Drosophila melanogaster: one gene and its partner. The protein of the gene in region 1 purifies or fractionates together with the protein of each later gene. This does not show direct contact. Each region holds a gene or a part of one and is shown in the gene's direction. Other genes may lie near its edges. The genes, in order: Acf and Chrac-16.

What was found.
Region 2: the proteins of Acf (region 1) and Chrac-16 fractionate together in Drosophila melanogaster (co-fractionation; 2 studies listed by BioGRID, with this or other methods). This does not show direct contact.

The regions. Positions count from the first base shown.
Region 1 is NT_033777.3:31,792,083-31,800,092, forward strand, and holds Acf (ATP-dependent chromatin assembly factor large subunit), read left to right. Parts: upstream 1-1,898; 5' UTR 1,899-2,285; coding exon 2,286-2,407; intron 2,408-2,899; coding exon 2,900-4,130; intron 4,131-4,188; coding exon 4,189-6,551; intron 6,552-6,610; coding exon 6,611-6,786; intron 6,787-6,852; coding exon 6,853-7,291; intron 7,292-7,356; coding exon 7,357-7,456; 3' UTR 7,457-7,717; downstream 7,718-8,010. Other genes in the region: Mccc1 (Methylcrotonoyl-CoA carboxylase 1), read right to left, coding at 1-2, 62-568, 623-1,388, 1,496-1,536.
Region 2 is NC_004354.4:12,016,451-12,020,081, reverse strand, and holds Chrac-16 (chromatin accessibility complex 16kD protein), read left to right. Parts: upstream 1-2,120; 5' UTR 2,121-2,208; coding exon 2,209-2,631; 3' UTR 2,632-2,857; downstream 2,858-3,631. Other genes in the region: Lsm12a (LSM12 homolog a), read right to left, coding at 1-75, 141-257, 324-454, 757-901; regucalcin, read right to left, coding at 3,111-3,303, 3,361-3,631. UniProt on the Drosophila melanogaster protein: Histone-like protein which promotes nucleosome sliding of ATP-dependent nucleosome remodeling complexes. Part of the chromatin-accessibility complex (CHRAC) which uses energy/ATP to increase the general accessibility of DNA in chromatin.

The DNA.
Region 1 (8,010 bases):
ATCTAAAATTGGTTTACCTTTAGGGAAATGTCTTAAAGGTACAAATTTTTAATGTTCTCACATGATATTCACCCAGGCGGGCAACCAATGAGTTAAGCGCTTGTGTGCGGTTTTCGCCCCAAACGACTAGCTTGGCAATCATGGGGTCGTAGTGCACAGACACCTCATCTCCTTCTCGGACACCCGTCTCCACGCGAACGTTGTTTGATGGTTGGGGAGTAGACAAATATCGCAGGGGTCCGGCTCCGGGCAGAAAGCCTCCGCGAGGATTTTCTGCATAAATGCGAGCTTCAAATGCGTGGCCACGCCGCGTAATCTCAGATTGCTTCAGGGGTAATGGCTCACCGGCGGCAATGCGAATCTGCCATTCAACCAAATCGGTGCCCGTAATCATTTCCGTTATAGGATGCTCCACCTGCAGGCGGGTATTCATTTCCATGAAGTGGAAAGAGAGATCTTCTTTGTCTAGAATGAACTCCACGGTGCCAGCTCCTACGTAGCCCACAGCTTTCGCTGCACGAACAGCAGCCTCGCCCAGCTCACGACGCAAATCTTCCGACAAACCTGGCTGTTGTATAAATGAGCATTATTTTTAAAATAGCCGAAGCTCTTGTGCACTTACAGCTGGCGCCTCTTCAATAATCTTTTGATGACGTCTTTGCACGGAGCAATCTCTTTCCCACAGATAGACAGCATCACCATACTGATCCGCAAATACTTGAACCTCTACGTGGCGTGGAGATCGGACGTACCGCTCCAGAAGCACAGAGCTGTCGCCAAACGACTTCTCGGACTCGGTGCGAGCTGAGTTCAGAGCGGTGAGGAAGTCGTCCGGTTTTTCTGCGATTCTCATGCCTTTGCCTCCGCCGCCGCGGACGGCTTTAATCATCAAGGGAAAGCCAATTTTGTCGGCTTCTCGCTGCAAACACTCATCTGACTGATCATCGCCATGGTATCCATTGATGATCGGCACCCCAGCAGCGGCCATTATGGCCTTGCTGGTGCTCTTAATCCCCATGTCCCGGATGGCGGAACTGGGCGGACCCATGAAGATGATGCCCTCACGCTGGCACAACTCGGCAAACTCGACGGACTCGGAGAGGAAGCCGTAGCCTGGGTGGATGGCCTGGGCGCCCGAACGCTTGGCTATGTCCAGGATGCGTTCACCGCGAAGATAGGAAGCCGAGGAGGCAGCTTCCCCCACGCGGTACGACTCGTCTGCCAACTGCGTGTGCATGCTCTTCTCGTCCGGATCCGAGAACACGGCCACGGTACGAACTCCCAGCTTGCGTGCGGTTCGAATCACCCTGCATGCGATCTCACCACGATTTGAAATAAGGATCTTGCTGATAGGCCGAACTTTTGGGCTGGCTTCTGTTGCAAAGCACCTGCGTCAAGCCAAAACAAATTAGCAAGGTTTATGTAATCGTCAAGAACGAAATTAAGTCTTTTGATTTAGCGGCCTTAACAAAGAACTGCCGATCATTTCCCTCACCTGGCGTTTGCGCCGAAGTTTCGCAGCAGTCTGGCGTACATTATTAGTAGAATTAATTGTAAGAATAAATAACAAATATACTTTATTCAGAGCAAGTGTGCGATCGTCGCTTATCACAGCTGGAAAAACGCACACGCACAAGATCGCAATTGAGATGGGCGACTCACGAGATGCATGGTTGAAAATATTAATGTTTCATATATCTTTTGGGGATTATCATATATCATCAATATCTTTTAGGGAAATTGATATTACGTATATTGTGTTTTTTTTAAGTTGCAACCCATAAAAAATATTACCGTTATATTATTCTGGACTATTTATCGAACTGTTGACATCCATCCGACCGCGTCCTTACGGTTTTCTGCGCTCGTGAAGTTCGGTAACATTGTTCGCAGAAACTCGATAACCGATAGTTTAACGTCGAAGAGCGATAGGCCCCAAAATATGCGCGTGAAAATAGATTGTGCGCTATAAAATAAACGGATTTAGGTAGTTGGTGTTGAGGAAGCCAGCCACAAACATAGTAGAAATTGTCGGAAAAGTGTCGCCCGCCGACAGCTTGTATAATTGCGTCGGAAGTCAACGCGCGTATCGCTGGAAAACCGTTTGCATCGAAAGCCCCTCCGGAAAGGCGTGAAAAGTTGGGCGCCTTTTGCGCTTGTCGCTTGGCGTTGTAAAATTTATCAGTTGCTCCGCGGTTGTTTTTATTGTGAACTGTTAAACGTGCACTTCGAAGGACTGCCATTTAAACTTAAGGACATTCAAGAGCAAAAGGAAAACACCAAACATGCCCATTTGCAAGCGGGAAGGATTCGACCTGAATCAGAAGGAGGGCAAGAACGAAACATTCCACGACAACGACCAGGTCTTCTGCTGCTACATCACTAAGCGCATTTTTCGCGACTATGAGTAAGTGCATCCTGCTACCATTCCTGCAACTGCCCCTTCCCTTCTCCTGCCATTAGGTGGACGCTGCGCTAAAGTATACAACAAAAGCGACGCTGCAAAAGCATTTGCACACGATGTACCGTACATCACCATTCAGTGTGTGTGTGTGTGTGTTCGCAGGGGTGCATAAGTGTGCGAGTCTCGTGGGCCAAAGGCGAAAAAAACGCTGTTCGGTGGCGGGAAGAAATTACAGCTGCCGCCGCACAGCTGCTCGCCGCGGAGTTGCCACCTGGTGCCAAAGCGCGCGCTCTTGAATTTGGAATTTGTTGACCCAATTCGACTTATATGATCCTTCTAGATATTTTTAAGATCAGCAATTATTTAAGAGGCTGGGTAGCGCGAAACTATTTTAATAAATAGCAAACATACTAAATATGTTTTACTCTGACAAGCTTCAATTATATCAAAATAAATTGACCTTAAAACGCTGATCGATTAAATTTATTTATCCAGACACTACTTCCGGCACGTGATGGTGATCAACTCAACGGTGTGGCAGTGCGAGGCCACCGGCAAGGAGAACCTCACCTACGAGGAGGCGGTCAAAAGTGAGCGGGCGGCTCGCAAGAAGATGGAGCAGTTCAAACAGAGCCTTCGGGCACCCGTCCTTCTGGTTGTGGAGCACGCCCAACAGTCGGCGGTCAACACCTTGAACATGATAGTGGCCAAGTTTCTGCGCAAGCGCTACTTTATCGGCGAGGAGGTGTCGGTGCAAGCTAAGAAGAACGCCACGTACACGGTGTTGGGTGTCAAGTTGGACAAAAATATGCCGGAACCACTCAATGGTATCTATGAGGACACGGACAACCTGGTCTACAGACTACGACCAAACAAGGGCGATCCCAGTGCAGAGCTTGATCTGCCCTTTAGGCAATTACGTCGCTCGCGCATGGAGTTTAACCTGGAAAACCTGAGTATGTTTATAAAGAGCAATGTATCGCGGGTGGATGGACTTCTTCGACCCAAGCCAGAGGCATACAAGCAGTACGTGACGGACCCTGGCGTAAACTTCTCCACAATTTTCATTGGCAAAATGCCACGTTATTCTCCCGCTAAGATTAAAAAACCTGACGGCAAGAAGCAATCCACTCTCAACAAATATATTGTCGCCGGTGAAGCAACGGCTGCAAAGTCAAAGGCGAAGGCCAAGTCTGATGCTAAATCTCTGGCAGAGGAATTGGAGCGGGTTAAGCGAGAAAAAGAGGCCAAGCTTATTGAGTTGGAAAAACAAAAGGCGGAAAAGAAGGCACAGTTGATTGAACGCGTTGAAAACGAATGTAATTTACTGCTTCAAAAGACGGACGACCTGGAGAGAACCGACCAAAAAGTCCTGCCCCGCTACAGACAGATCGTCACATTGCTGCCTGAGCACCTCCTGGGTGATGCCTTCATGATGCGCGAGTTTATGCACACTTACACAGGATTGCTGTCCGGCATCGAGGTGTTCCGTCAGAACCTCAGTTTCTACGAGATGACACGTGCACTGACTGCTCGTGAGATTGCGGGCCCACTATCGGACATCCTCCTCGTTCTGCTTGGCACTGTTTTCGATCTGCAAAAAGAAGAGGAGGAGGAATGCGCAGTGACCTACCTCGATCGGGCTGCACAAACTCAGGAGCCCTATTGGAGTATGGCGCAGGCCGCCAAAAGTCACCTTTACGCCAAGAGGCACTTTTCCTTTAAGGTCAATACTTTGTTTGTGCCGACGTGTGTTATCTAAACTAATTTTATTTTCCCAATAGGTAAATGAACTACCATTAGATGCACTGACTCTCAGTGAAGTGCTACGACTGCATCTACTTGGATCCGGAGCTTTTGTAAATGAAAAGGCGGAGCGCTGGAGAGTCATGTACCGGAATGGCTACTCGTCAAAAGAAGACCCTGGTCTGGAACTACGTCTGGAACACTCGCACATCCTGCGCATTCTCAAAAATCATTCCGTATATCAGCTAAAGTTTAAGGATATAATGCTCCTGATTCGCTGCCTGATGTCCCAAATTATGACATACTCGGGCACGATTAACTTGATTGAGGAGCGTATGGAGCAAACAGCAAAGGCCAGGCAAGATCTACGAGCTCTAGTTGTCGGGGAAAATAAGAGATTAGCCGCCGTAGAGATAAACAGGAAAAAACTCACGCAAATGCACCACCTGGAGGTAAATGGCGTTGAGCCTGAAAAGAGGGAAGCGTTGGTCGAGAAATTAAAGAAGAGTATTGCCGAGCTACACGCCCAATCGGATCAGCAACATCGCAAGCACGAGTTGCAGATGCTTAAGTTGCATTCGCAGCTTTTCAATTTTTTGGTTTACTTGGGCATGGATAGGTGCTACAGGAAATATTACGTTTTGGAGTCTATGCCTGGGATCTTTGTCGAGCATTCGCCGGACAGCCTTGACACTTGTTTGGAGCAACCAATAACAAATAAGTCCCAAATAGAAATTCGTCAGCAGTCTGCATTGCCAAAGAATCGCAAGGACCTAAGGGTATATCTACTCAAACTCTACGGAGACGACGAAAAGAAAACTAAGAAAAAGGCCAAGCACTCTCTAGAGAACAAGGAGAACCAAGAGCATCGCCTTAACGGCAGTGCAGAACCCATGGATGTCGAATCTGATTCTCCAGAGGCTCCCACTCATTTTGAGCTCTTGATGTGCAGTGGTGACAAACGATCTTGTATTGTGCATGATTCAAGAAATGGGCAACGGCAGCGTTGGGCATATATTTACAAAGCCGAGGAGATCGATGAATTAATTAAGGCTCTCAATCCCAATGGTCTCCGTGAATATGAACTCCTTCAAGAGCTATCCGTTCTGCGTTCCTTAATCGAACAGCATGCTAAGACCTGCCCAGTAGACTTGCTAAGTCTAGAAAACGAAACAATGCGCAAGAAGTTTATGGCGGCGATGGAATCTGAAACTAACCGTAAATACGGAGAAGCAAACTTTGGGTTACCGAATGGGACCGATCTAAACGAAGTGATGCGCTTGCATTTAGTGGATCGAATTATTCAATTTGAAAATGATATTTACACTGGTGATCTCGGCCGCCTGAAAGTTAAGGATATGGAAAAGTGGCGAAGTGACTTGCTTGGAGGCAATTACGACGCTCAGTGCAAGTTGCAGTGGGGCCCGGGTGGCAAGTTGGAAGATGAAGCTGGTTCTGACAACGAATCCCACGAAACTCACGAGGAGGACGATGGCGCACTATTAGGTAAATATGCCAGGAAACCATATCGCGATCCTGGCATGTATTTGGCAGCTTCTGCAGACACAAAACCCCTACCAGACAGCGACGATGAGGAGGATCAGCATACGAATGCCGTCTCGATTCCTATCGCCGTGCATAACATGGCCTCGGCCCTTCTGCAAGTGGAGCAGGCTATTGGAAAACGGTTTCTGAAGGAACCCTACGGCATGAAGAAGTGGGACCCCAAGCAGGAGGCTTTAAAACTTGCCTGCGACTCGCGTTTGCACCAGTGGGAAGTTTCGCTAATGGAAAGTACAAGCTTTGCTCAAGTCTTTCTGCACCTAAACATCTTGCACGACTGTATTCAGTGGAGGCGTTCCACCAATAAGTCATTATGCAAGGTCTGCAGGCGTGGCAGCGATCCGGAGAAGATGCTGCTGTGCGATGAATGCAACGCTGGCACTCACATGTTCTGCCTGAAGCCTAAGCTGAGGTCTGTACCCCCGGGCAACTGGTATTGCAATGATTGCGTAAAGAGTCTGGGTCTCAGCAATGGTCAAAACGAAAAGGATAAAAAGCAGGCGACAAAGAAGAAACGCAAGTTTATCGTAGAAGAGGAGGATGATGAAGCTACAGACGAAGAAGAGGAAGAGAAAAAGGATGACGATATGACCGATGAGGATGCGGAGCACGAGAACGAAAAACACGATGAGGACGTTGAGGACGACGAAAGTGTGACCTCTACCCCCTCATCTTCCAGAGTCAATGGGCGAATTTTAAGGCGACCCCGCACACGGCCAACAAGCAGAAGACTTACTTCGAAAGAGATCGAAGAACATGCTCAGGAAGACGTTGACAGCGGAGACGTCAGCGATGACGCATCCTTAACCGCCGGTGAAGATACGATCGAAGACGAGTCGTAAGTTAAAAACTGGATTGAAAATTAAATTTAGATAATGAACCCATTGCAATCCACAGAGATGAGGAAAAGGTGTGTCAGAAGTGTTTCTACGATGGCGGTGAAATCAAATGTGTGCAATGCAGGCTATTCTTTCACCTGGAATGTGTTCACCTCAAGCGACCGCCTCGCACAGATTTCGTTTGTAAAACCTGCAAGCCGATGCCACAACGACCTAGGCGCCGGCACAGTAACAGTAAGTCCACAAATTTCTCCTTAATGAATAGCTCACTAATAGCCCGTGTGATTTCTGTCCAACAAGTGAATGGTGATCATGACCGCGATGAGGAGGAGCCAAAAGCAAAGCGACCACGTAACTCTTTGCGCCTATCTATCGACAAGACCGCCCGCCCAAGCAACGGCAACAACAACAACAATAATAACAACAGCAGCGTCAATAACAACAACCATCGCAGAAGCGGGCGTCGGACGAACGAGCACATGCCGTTGAACAGTGCCGCCTTGTACGATCTGCTTGAGCAGATCATGAAGCACAAGGCCGCTTGGCCGTTTCTGCGACCAGTGCTGACATCGGAGGTTCCCGACTACCATCAGATCATCAAAACGCCCATGGATCTAGCTAAAATCAAATCCAAGCTAAACATGGGCGCCTACCAGCTAAACGAGGAGCTGCTCAGCGACATTCAGTTGGTGTTTAGAAACTGCGATTTGTACAACGTAGAAGGCAACGAAATATACGAGTGAGTAGATTGGGATAATCCGTAAGTGGTCTTGTTGTTTATCCTTTATCTTGAATCCGTTGCAGCGCTGGTTGTCAACTAGAACGATTCGTGATCGATCGATGTAGGGACATGCAGCTACCGTTTAGGCCTAGCGATATGAACGGGGAAGTCAAAGCTTGCTGAGCCGGACGCTGATCTCCACCAGCTATCGTGTAAATTAGTTAGTCTACTCTAAGCCGTAGTTGAAAACCATATATATTTAAGCACAAATATTAAGTGTATTTAAAGATCTTTATTTTCGTGCATGTCAGTTCTAAGTTCAGCACACGCATATGCAAAAAATCCTTATCTGTTGGTTTATGAGACTTTATGTATTTATAAATTATTGTAGACACTACGAAAATTCCACAATCAATAAATGAAGTGACCGGAAACAAACGATTCAAAATAAATAAGTAAAAAAAATTGTTTTGTTGGAGGTGTAAAAAGCTAAAATTAAATGAATACAAATTTTAAAAGAGCTTAGCTCTGTATAAACGCAGGAAAAATGGGTAGATGGAGTTTGCCAGTTTTTAAAACAGACGATTTGATCGCAAAAAAAAAAATATTGCTTAAAGAACCTAATTTGCCAAATTCTTTCTTAATCGAGAAAAAAGTGTTGGATGCTGCATTGTTATTATTACTTTTTATGAAATCTAAGCTATGTGTGTTTCACTGGACATTAAAAGTAAGAGTGA
Region 2 (3,631 bases), on another chromosome or scaffold:
CACTCGGTACGGCGGCGAGATGGTGACTTCATTTAGGATCTGTATGTTAAGTCCTTGCCAGGAGACTTCATTGTACTACAAAATAGTAAAAGAAATAGCAATGGTTAATGATGATAGGGCATCGTGCAAGAGGTCATTACCCCGTATTGTTTGGCTATCGCTCTATAGAGTTCCTGCGCCTCTGGACTGACATCAGCATTCTTAGACTTCAAGTAGTCCTGTCTTCGCTCAACTGTTTTCCTCAGACGCATTTTGACCTGTATAAGCAATATATATATATATATATATATATTTATGTAAGTGGTCAGAGCTGGCATGCTTACCTGTTCCAGATTAAGCTTTTGCGGATCATCAAAGTTGCCGTTGCACTCCTTGATCACCTGCACGTTGCTGCAGAGCGAGAGGTTCATCGCGTAGATATCACTCAGCTCCTCCGTGGACTTGGATCGGCATTCTATGCGGTTGGAAAGGGAAGAGAAGAGCAGGAACGGGGGGCAAAGATATACGATGTACGGAGAACCAAATTGTCAAGCAGTAAACAATGGGTTTGATAAGAGATAGGTGATATGTGAATGCTATCAGTTAAGATGAGTGTGAATTAGAATTATATACGAATCTAAAGGACAGTGTGACTTTTTGTCCAGACAGCTCAAGAGATCCCTGTGGACAGCCGGAGAAAGTGCTCGCTTTCACCCGGCGGGCAAGTTGTGTGTGTGTGTGGGTATGCATTTCGGGGATTTCGTTGCAAAAGGATACTCAGGATAAGCATCTTTGTGTTGTGATCGAAGGCCAGCACCTCGCCCTCCACCTCCTCGTTGAAACAGGTCGTACAGACGACTGTGGATCCGATGCTGAAGCAGTCGTTCACTGCATTCACTGCGCTCGCAGCGGCAGCGGCCATTTTTAATTGCTGGTTGAGATTGGCCAACTGGAAAAGTGCACCCACAAGCTATGTGGATAGGGGATTCGAATCTAGATCTAAATGTCGATACTGGTTTGTTGGCACGCCGTTGCTTGAACAACGTTTCACAAACAGCGATGGTGATGATGTTGATGATTTTGCGGCAGCAGCAGCTGTTTTGGATGCTTGAATTCCTGGAATTCTCGAAAGGATTTAACTAGCTCTCTCGCTCGCTCTCACTCTCGCCGTCTGTCTGTCTCGTTCTCTCGTGCCGTGCAGCTCACTCGCTTTCACTTGAACCGCTCTAATGGAAATGTCGCTTCCTGGCGATCTGGTCGAGATCCTGCTCCTGCTTCCACTGCCCCTGATCGTCGCGTGAATTGGCCAAAAACTCGCTGGTTACTCGCTCGACTAGCTATCGGCTATCTATTTTGGCGGCAATTGCGGTTCGGTAATTGAAAAGTTGGAAAAGTACGCGAAAAATTTATTGGTCAACACACGAAACAACAGCCAAAAGGGGGCAGCAGAAAACGCAGTGTTGCACATGCCGCGCAGCGATAGGTTCGATAGTCATCGATTACGGAAGTCTGGCAACGTTGCTGCAAACAAATCAAGTGCAATAATAATTTATTGATATTTATTTATATGTGAGTTCGAAAATGAAGACAGATTTTTAAGCTATAAGTGTGAAAATCCAAAGTTGATTGCATACTGAAAAGACAAAAGTAGATAATATTGACTTGTCTAAATGTTGTTGCAATTGAATGTTTCCTTATAAATCGTGCAGATCCTAATCGTTTTACCCCTAATCTCTTGATTAAGTTAAAGGTATTTGCTTAGAGCGGTTTTTCCACTAATAAATTGAAATATTTGGAAAACTTTTATTAAATACTTGTTGTGGCTACCGATAGCATATCGGCGCAACGTTATTTGGTTAAATTCCCGCTCCAGCTAGAGCTGAAAGTATAGGCAAATCCGAATGGGTTTCTCAATTTTTATATATTTAGCGCTATAACTTAATTCTGAGAAAGTAACACATATATTATTGTGCACATCCAATTCCTTGCAAAAATAGAAGTATGCCAGCATTGTTCGTTTTAAGGGAAGCCCTGCGGTTACTTATTTTAAGTCTTCATAAACCATAACCATCGATAGCAAATAAAAAAAAAGAATCGATAGTGTCTCAGAAAGGTACGAATTTCATGCCTCGATTGTAACATCGATAGTTTCACAGCTCCACTTGTGAGCCCAGCTCTAAAACCAAAAAAATTCCCAAGCCATAGTTTGCTTGGGAATTAAGTAAACAAATGGGCGAACCAAGGAGCCAACCACCCGTGGAGCGTCCACCGACCGCGGAAACCTTTCTGCCCCTCAGCCGCGTGCGAACGATCATGAAGAGCTCCATGGACACGGGCTTGATCACCAACGAGGTGCTCTTCCTGATGACCAAGTGCACGGAGCTATTCGTTCGCCATTTGGCGGGCGCGGCATACACGGAGGAATTCGGCCAGCGACCGGGCGAAGCGCTCAAGTACGAGCATCTCTCCCAGGTGGTCAATAAGAACAAGAATCTGGAGTTTCTGCTGCAGATCGTGCCGCAAAAGATCCGTGTACACCAGTTCCAGGAGATGCTGCGGCTAAATCGCTCCGCCGGCAGCGACGACGACGATGACGACGACGATGATGACGATGAAGAAGAGTCCGAATCGGAATCGGAGTCTGATGAATAGACGGTCATGCAGATGTTTATCTACACCGAAATTGAGTGGATGATCTCCATTCACCAAAACATCGACTGATTTTTTACGCCACCTTGCTATCTTTAATTTTAGACTAGACGATAAGTATAAAATTGTTTATAGAACCACTGATTAATAAAGAAGCATAAGAGCACTGCGTCCTCCAAATGACCATAAGATCCGCGGATGATTACCGTGTGTCTGCGGCTGATAAGATTGTTGTTTGAAATCAGAGTAAAGTAGAGCATAGTCAACCTCTTTGTGAGTTTACATGATGATCCTGGATATTCCCAGGAGAGAATGTGATCCTTAAGCTGACCTTGAACTAGAACTGCAAAAAAGGATAACCTAACTAGCATGCAAAACATTGATAGACGCGATTTAAAACGTTAAAGAGCATAACATATAATTGCACTTGGATTCGATTGGTACATTTTACTGCGGCTAAGGATAGATAGAGATTGCAGCTCCTAGACCTTCAGGTTGACGCCGGGATAGCCGGTGGCGTTCAGTCCGGTCACCTTGTAGGTGGTGCCAGCTGGAGCGGGCTGATCGAACTTGGCGGCAGTGGTCACGTACAGGATGTCCAAGTTGGGGCCACCGAAGGCGGCGGAGGTAATCTGTTTGGTTGGGAACTTGATCTCAAGCAGAATCTTGCCAGTGCTGCAATGAAGTACGACATTTAACACTCGATCACGAATGTTAGAGTGAACTACTCACTTGGGATTAACCTTGTAGATGGTGGCGCCATTGAAGGTGGCCACATACAGGTTGCCCTCGGTATCGATGGTCAGGCCATCGGGCAGCAGATGATCCTTGGGACTATTCTTGCGCAGATTGAATATAACCTTGGGATTGCTAGCCACGCCGGTCTCGAAATCATAGTCATACGACTTCACCTCGTAGTCGGTGGTATCGATGTAGTAGAACTTCTTGGCCTTCTCGTCCCATGCCAGTCCATTGGAGATGCCCACATCGCCCTTGATCACCG